Cricetulus griseus: one gene and its partner. The protein of the gene in region 1 purifies or fractionates together with the protein of each later gene. This does not show direct contact. Links are inferred from orthologs where the notes say so. Each region holds a gene or a part of one and is shown in the gene's direction. Other genes may lie near its edges.

Region 1 (3,811 bases):
CCCGCTTAAGTAAATTAACTATTTGGTACTTGTAAATTACACTTATTATAATTCAGAGTCAAACGTCTACCCCTGTGTCTGTTTCTCTGAATTTAGCCGGTGAGAGCACAGCAGTGGGAGCACATGCAGTTCCACAGTAGGGTAACAAAGACAGTAAGAAAGTTGCCAGTGCCTCCAAGAATGTGACCTTGCCCTGTCAGGGAAGGGTTATGCAGGGTCAGACAGTTTTAAGGATGTGTGCAGACCTCTATGGTCTGCCTCCATGGGAATCCCTGCCCCGCATGCATAGCCCCTGACAATACAGTTGTGTTGCTGCTGAGATCACCTGCTTTCCAATTCACCGCCCCTTCATCCATCTGTTCACACACTCATTCGTTCATCACAGCATTATCTATCCATGTAGCATCTTGTTCAGGGCCAACAGGAGCTCTGATGCCTCATGGGCTTCAGAGGAAGGAAATTCTCAGACACCATCATGGCTGATGTAGGTTTGGCAACACTTTCGTATTTCATTTCCTTGGTCTGACAGTTTCAAAGACACTGCTTCTGTACTCAAGGATGCCACTGGATTCCACCCTCGAGATGGAAGCCACAGGCTCTACTGCAAGTGTCAGACAAGTGATCTTCAGAGGGGAATGTCAGCAGAGGGTAACTTCTCACCTGGAGCTGGTCTGCAGAGGAGAAGGGATGGTCCAAGGTCCATCTGCCCTGGGTGAGAAGGAACTTACCTTAGAGAAGGGAAGCCCCTGAAAACACACACTGGGGAACAAGCAGAGGGCTCTGCAAAAAACAAGAAAGCATTCTCTGACTCCTAACGTCACTTATTTCTTTCAAAATCAGGAGCAGACTATGATCCCATACCTACTGTACCCCCATCTCCTGGTCCCAAGAGTAGCAGCAGCATGGACCGAAGCCCTAAGATGGAAATAGAGCCATTTACAGGATAAGTCAAAAGGCATTTTATGGCTAAGTGCTTTCACATACCTATAATCCCACATTTAGAAGGCTGAGGAAAGAGACCACACACTCAAGACCATCTGGGGCTAAAGAGTGAGACTCTGTCTAAAAACAAGTATGTGGAGGCCTTAAGAATGACACCCTGCCTAGTGCTGGCATTGGTCCATGGACTCTGCCCTCAGGAACCATTCCTATCAGTTCCAAAAAGCCAGTCAAGAAAGCAATGACTGTCTGAACCCCTGTTCACATGCTGGTCTTCTGCCCACATTTTTTCACCTAAATTCTTGGTCCCCTCTGGACACAGAATCCAGGACTCTCACCTTTTCTCAGCTCAGGAACAGGAGGACTTATTGAAGGGCAGGCAGCCCTGTACTAACCCCACTGAAATAGAGCTACTGATTTTCCATGGCCACCACAACACAGTGGCCATAAGCTACTGTGGAAATGTTCTCTACAGAGTAGCCAGAGGCATTGGGTAGCAAACACAAGAGGATGCTGACAAGTGGGAAGATGGTTTTCTTTTTTTGTTTTCTTCAGAATATCTCCAGCCAAAAGTAGCATGGGAAAGAAGAATGGAAGAGGTTGCAGTAAGCAGAGGGGGACATGTCCAGGAGGCCAAGGCCTTTTCTCCTCATTGAAAACCACTTTCATCACAGCTAACAGTGTGTGAGGTGGAGGAGACTACTCAGGATATTTATAGTCTTAATAGCATTTGCCTTTTAGTCATGAACCAGATCAGCCAGTCTTCAGTCACCAAACTTAGAGAACAGTCTCTTAAGGGTGAAAATAGAAGCTGACGTTGTGATGTTGCTTTAGTGGGCAGCATAGGGAAGGGCCATCCTTCAGATCTCATCATCCTTCAAGGCTTCATTCTCCATAGTCTGGTCCTCCCGGGTGTCCTCTGTAACCCTGCTGATCAAAGCTCACCCGGCCTCCCAAGTGATGCCAATCCAATGTCTCACTGTTTCTCTTTGGCTCTTCTCTCGTGTTTAGGAAGATCCCTCCTGCGGCAGATAGTCCCATGCCCTCGCCAGCAGCCCACATCACCACCCCTGTTCCAGCATCCGTTTTGCAGCCTTTCAGCAACCCCAGTGCTGTGTATCTTCCTTCAGCTCCCATCAGCTCGAGACTCACGTCTTCTTACATAATGACATCAGCCATGCTCTCAGACGCAGCTTTTGTGGCATCGCCGGACCCACGTGTCCTCATGTCCCACACCACAGCTTTCCCCCATGTGGCTGCAACCCTCAGCATCATGGACTCAACCTTCAAGGCCCCCTCTGCTGTGTCCCCAATACCAGCTGTCATTCCTTCCTCATCCCACAAGCCATCCAAAACCAAAACCAGCAAATCCTCAAAAGTCAAAGACCCGTCAGCTCATAGCGACGAATCTCCAAGTAACAAAAAGAGGAAGCCGCAGTCTTCGACTTCCTCCTCCTTATCCTTTCAGGCTTCCTTTTCGTCTCCATTGTCAGGGCCCCACAAAAAGAACTGCGTTCTGAATGCCAGTTCCTCCTTGAACTCCTATCAGGCATCCCCTCCCTATAACAGTCTGTCTGTGCACAACTCAAATAATGGGGTGAGCCCACACAGTGCCAAGCTGGAGCCCTCAGGACGGACCTCGCTACCCAGCAGCCCCATGGACATAGTGAGACAGGTGGGCGCTGTGGGTGGCGGCAGCGGCTCCTGTCCCCTCTCCGTGCCCTCCCTTGCACTCCATGCAGGGGACCTCTCTTTGGCCTCACACAATGCTGTGTGTTCTCTGCCCCTCTCTTTTGACAAATCAGAAGGAAAAAAGCGTAAGAGCTCAAGTCCCAGTAGCAAAGCCTGTAAAATCACTAAAATGCCTGGTATGAATAGTGTCCACAAAAAGAACCCGCCCAGCCTTCTTGCACCGGTGCCCGATCCCGTTAACAGCACCTCCTCTCGGCAGGTAAGGGAACTCCTGGTACTGCCTTCATCGGCTCTCGGGGGTAGGGGGAGCTGCAGGTAACACAAGCATGGCTCTATTTCCTGAGAGTTGTTGGTAAGACCCTCACTTTGCTGGTCCCTATGCTAAGTACTTTACAGTAATCACTTCCTTTAGTCCTCACAAGAACCCAGCACAGGGGGCACAAAGCAGTCATCAGGATACAGATGGGACACAGAGAGGCTGTTAGTTCCTCCGTTCCTTTTGTCTGCCCTGAGGACTACTTCATTAAAGAGTTTTGTTGCTAAGAAGTTTGATCTGATCTGTTGGAGCTCCTTCAGGATGAGCCTGAGACCCAGGCTGGTTAAGTGATATCAGGTCCCACCTGGAGAGTGACAGCCTGAGCATCTTGCCACCAGGTGATTGTCCTCACCTCATCAAGCTGCCTCAATCCCCTCCCTTCCTATAGCAAAACTGCCCCTTGCCCCCATAGCAAAGGAAGGACTCAGTGCCAGGTCACCTGCGTGAGTGTGCACTGTAATGGAGCTGGGACATGCTGACAGCCAAAGGGTAGCTGTATCTTTCCTGGGAGTTGGTTTCCAATCCCCAAATCCAGGCTGTCTCCTCAGCCTGCGAGAGCTACTGATTACAGCCCTCTACTACTCTGGGCCCACCAGATGGAAGCTCAGAGCTGGAAGGAAGGACCCCAGTTTCCTCACCCTTTTCTGAGTGGGCTTTGAGAGCCGCCCTTCTGGAAGGTAGCCCAGGTTTATCACCAGAGAACTAACAGATCAGACCCTAAGGCCAGCGCCCCCCCCCAAGAGGTGGGGACTCTGGAGAGATAGAAGGTGCATTAATGTAGAGCCTCTACCTTCCTGATGCCGCTACCCTTTGATGCAGTTCCTCATATTGTGGTGACCCCCCAACTATAAATTATTTTTGTTG
Region 2 (4,305 bases), on another chromosome or scaffold:
TCTCAAAAAAAACAAAACAAAAACAAAAACAAAAACAAACAAACAAAAAGGAACACCTCATCCCAATTCATAGGTTGTAAATGCATGGACATATCTAAGTTTGGGTAAGACCATCATTGTTTCAAGGCCAGGCTGCTGCTAACCAGACAAGCCTCAACTGCAGTTGCTCCTGGGAACCATGACATCAAAATGCTGTCTATTTCCATAGGACATCCCCCCCCACCTCCACCACCACCATAAAAGCAGTCCTCGGAATGCCTGCGGGTAATTTCTCTCTGTTGTTTTGCCTGCTAGCCGCTAATACTGCAGTGCATTTGATGATCCCTCTACTTCTGCCTTTTTCTGTCTTGGTGAATTATTTCACTGCTCCACATCATGGGTACCTGTCACCAGAGTGTGACACCTAGCTGCTATAATTTTTTAGGAATAATGGTGTGCGTGTGTGTGTGGGGGGGAGGTAATTATTCAGTAGATACAATTTGTAGGGAGGGAAGACTGAGTTGATTGACTGCTCATTTGTGTAACCCCAGATAGGAGGGCTGAATGCATTATAGGTCTGTGCTGTCCCTATTTAATAGGACCTAGTGTGTCTAATGTGGCTAGTACAAATTGAATATGCTGTACCCAAAGTGTAAAATACGAGATTCCAAGGCCAATGCAAAATTTTTAGGACATTTCACTAACAATTTTACAATATCACCCGTTGACATGATATTGTCTTTGTTGGACTACTTGTTAAAATTAATTTTACCTGCTTCTTGTTGCTTTGTGGCCACTAAAAAATAATCGTATGCCGGCTGGCATTCTAGTTCAACAGGAAAGCACTGGATTAGACCCTAGGGAAGGGATCCTTAGTCTGTGTTCTCGCCGCGCCCAACCCCTGCTGTTGCACTGCGGTACCCAACACAGTCGCCAAGATGGCAGTCTGCAGAGAGCCTGCACAAGAAACTCAAGTGACCATCAGACAGAACCTAGAAAACCGTCTAGAAGAGAAAGAGCAGAAGCAGGCCCCGCCCCACCCCGTCCGGCGCCCCGCCTCTTTGCGGCAGAGCTCAGGCCGGTGCAAACCGGTTCAGTGGCCTGATGGGCACTCGGTTTTACCCAATCCTTAGCACGCCCCGCCTTCCAAGTGGAGACTCGAAACGTCCGGTAGCTGGCGTCTCGGAAGGAGGCTCCAAAGCAAACCGGACCAGACCTCCAGCCTATGATAACCGCCGATCGTGGCTCAGACTGGCAGACAACCAATGGCGTGACGCGAGGGCGGGATTCCTTTGGCCACCCCCTCTCGCCCCCCGGCGTCTCGCGGGAGCCAGAGGGCTAGAGTGAGGCTGTGGGGCGGGGCCTAGGGCGGTGGAGCCTGCGCACTGTGGCCGCCGGCCTGGGTGACGTTATCCTCTCCCGTGGACAGCCCCGCCCCGCCCCGCCCTCCTCGAAGCTGGAGACTGGTGCGTGAGGAGCGGTCGGTGCCGCAGTCGTCCGCCTCGGTTCTCGGCGCGGTCTTTGTCCGCCGCTTTGTTCTCGCCGCGCTGGCGTCGTCTTCGCCTCCGTCGCCGCCCGCCCCGCGCGCCCGGGCCTTGCCCGCCATGGTCTCTCGGCCCGAGCCTGAGGTCGAGGCCATGGATGCTGAACTGACTGTGGCGCCGCCGGGCTGCTCGCACCTGGGCAGCTTCAAGGTGGACAACTGGAAGCAAAACCTGCGCGCCATCTACCAGTGCTTCGTGTGGAGCGGAACGGCCGAGGCCCGCAAGCGCAAGGTGAGCCCTAGGCCTGCCCCTCTCTCCTGCCTGGAACGGGGGGAGGGTGTGTGTGGCGGGGGTGGGGGGACGGGAGGGAGCCTGTCGGTGCGGGGTGGGGTGAGGGTGAGGGTGAGGGTGAGGGGAAGGCTCGAGGTTCAGGGAGGGAACGAGGGGAGGGAGCGGGGAGAAGCCTCGCGGTGCGGGGAGGGGCAGAGGAAGGGGCGAGGCTTTGCCTCGCTGTGCGGGGAGGGGGCAAGGGACTTCCTGGAGCTGTGGGATGGTGGCCGGAGGAAGCCTCTAGGTGCCCGGAGGTGGGGTCTGAGGTGGAAGACTCCGCCTTGACGATCGGCCCAGAGTAGTCCCTGTCTGTGAAGGTCGCCGTGCGGGGTCGCGGTCTGCAAGGTGGTTCTGTGGGTAGCGGCAGCTGCTGAGACCCGCAGCAGACAGAAGAGGCTGGCAGGGCCTCTACGTACTCTAGTTGGGAAGCGAGATTTTAGGTTGTAGGAGACTATTGACATCCGCAGCCATCGAGGTAGTGGCTGTTTTGTTGTTTACTGGTTTTGTAAATCTCAGCAATTATGATTATATTACTAGAGATTTGGAAATCGGAAAATGTTCTTCTTTAATCTTAGACTTCAGTGTTAACAATTTGGTTTTGAAGGTGGAAACTGGAGTGGGGAGTAATAGTTGTTTCCGTCTTGAGTAGCGTTTCTTAACCGGAAAACTGGCAAATCCGCTGGTTGTATGTCATGTTAAGCATTAAATTATTTTTTTTAATCAACATGGTGGAAGACACCACAATGATACCTTTTAGGGTGACTAAAGGCTTATGTTCAGTAACAGATAGCCTGTTAGGATCAGATATTTTTGTTAATAGAAGTGTATGCCCTTTAACAAGAAATACTAAGACTTGGGTTGTTTTGTCTTTTGAGGTGACAGTCTATGTAGCCTAGGCTGGCCTTAACCACTCAGTCTGTCTCAGCTTTGTGAGGACCGGGATTATAGAGGTGACTGTCAGATTGACACCAGGGTTCCACGGTCTTAATTTCGTCACGGATGCATTCTATTCCTTCCTGGATTGAGATGTGTTGTAAACTCATTTTTTACATCAGAGTAAATGGGGGCCCCCTCCCCTTTCTGTACCTTTTAATCCCTTCCATCTCCCCCTGTTCTAGTTCCGCATAGCATCACAGAAGGAAATGAAAAGTTTCCTTTTTAATTAGGACTGCTTAGCTCGGTATTTAAATTTCCACTGAGCTAGAAGTTCTTTATTAAATGATCTTCACAACCCAGAATTCAGACACCAGTGCAACACTCACAAGTCATGTGAAGTAGGAAATGAAGGCAGGTAGTGCTTGTGAAGGGACCTGAGCTTTAGCTTGTCTACAGAACAACCCTCTCCTGAAGTTCCCTCTAGCTCAGAATGTTTTCATTTCACAAGCCAGTTATTCCTCTAAAAACATTTGGCTACACATAATGGTGCAGAAGAAGGAATGCAAATACCTGCAAAAGTATAGCTCTTCAGCCATCAGAGCAATGGTGACCCCCAAGAAAAATGACAGCAAATATGATATGGGGGAAAGGGGAGCCCTGATATACACTGCTGGTGGGGGTGTAATCTGCTACAGGCTATGTAAACAATGGAGATGTCTCAAATAACTAGAAATAGACTACCTTGTCACTGAGCCACACCACTCCTAAGTGTAGACTCAGAGGACTCTAAACACAGAACAGTAATGCAGAAAGGGAACTTTGTGAGGGAGGAAGAAACCCAAAAAGTTGGGGGGTGAAGAGGGGTAGTATTGGAGGTGAGTTTAAACAAGGTACAGTGATAAATATATATTAAGATGTCATAATGAAACCACTACATGACAGTTAAAAAATGAAGAGAAAAGCATCATATGTGTCTCAAGTTGTTTGCAGCCTTTGGGGTGTGGCTTAGGAGAGACAACACCTTACTGTGAATGTTGTGATGAAGGCTCCCTTCAAGGCCTATTCATTCCAAGTTCATTCCAGTTCCCACCATCCACAAAGCAAGTTTTGGGTACTGGCTGATGGGGCAGGCTGACCCTAGGCCTCCTGCTGCCAGCTCAGGAGCCACATTCCTCTCAAGAGGCCAGCTGTGCTGCTCCACAGGTACCCCATCAGCACCCTGTGCACCTCACTGTGCCTCTCCCTGGCTGGATCATTGCTGATGCCTAAATTGGATTTTTAAAAATCTGAGCCTTGTGGATGACTGGAAATTCATTTTCAAACTTAGCAGTTTTGGTAGGATGGAAACTAAGGTAATAGCTGACAAGATAGATGTGTCTTCCGTGCAAGTGGCAAACCTGCAGTTCTGCCTTAGTCTCACTGTGCACATCTGTGTACAGTAGAGTCACTAGGTGGAGAGAGGCAGGCCTTCCCAGAGGACTTTCTCTTGCTCTCAGATTCCCACGGAGACTCTCCTTATTTCCTGTGTTGGAATCATACCCCTTATAAGACACAGGTTTAGCCGGGTGTTGGTGGCACACGCCTTTAATCCCAGCCCTTGGGAGGCAGAGGCAGGCAGATCTCTGAGTTCCAGGCC

What was found.
Region 2: the proteins of Atxn7l1 (region 1) and ubiquitin carboxyl-terminal hydrolase 22 purify together in Homo sapiens (affinity purification with mass spectrometry; 3 studies listed by BioGRID and IntAct, with this or other methods). This does not show direct contact. The link is inferred for Cricetulus griseus from reciprocal best matches to the Homo sapiens genes ATXN7L1 and USP22.

Annotation. Positions count from the first base shown.
Region 1 is NC_048598.1:170,988,885-170,992,695, forward strand, and holds part of Atxn7l1 (ataxin-7-like protein 1), read left to right. Parts: intron 1-1,950; coding exon 1,951-2,890; exon of another isoform or gene 2,891-3,811.
Region 2 is NC_048600.1:75,162,472-75,166,776, reverse strand, and holds the start of ubiquitin carboxyl-terminal hydrolase 22, read left to right. Parts: upstream 1-1,416; 5' UTR 1,417-1,583; coding exon 1,584-1,754; intron 1,755-4,305. UniProt on the Homo sapiens protein: Deubiquitinase that plays a role in several cellular processes including transcriptional regulation, cell cycle progression or innate immunity.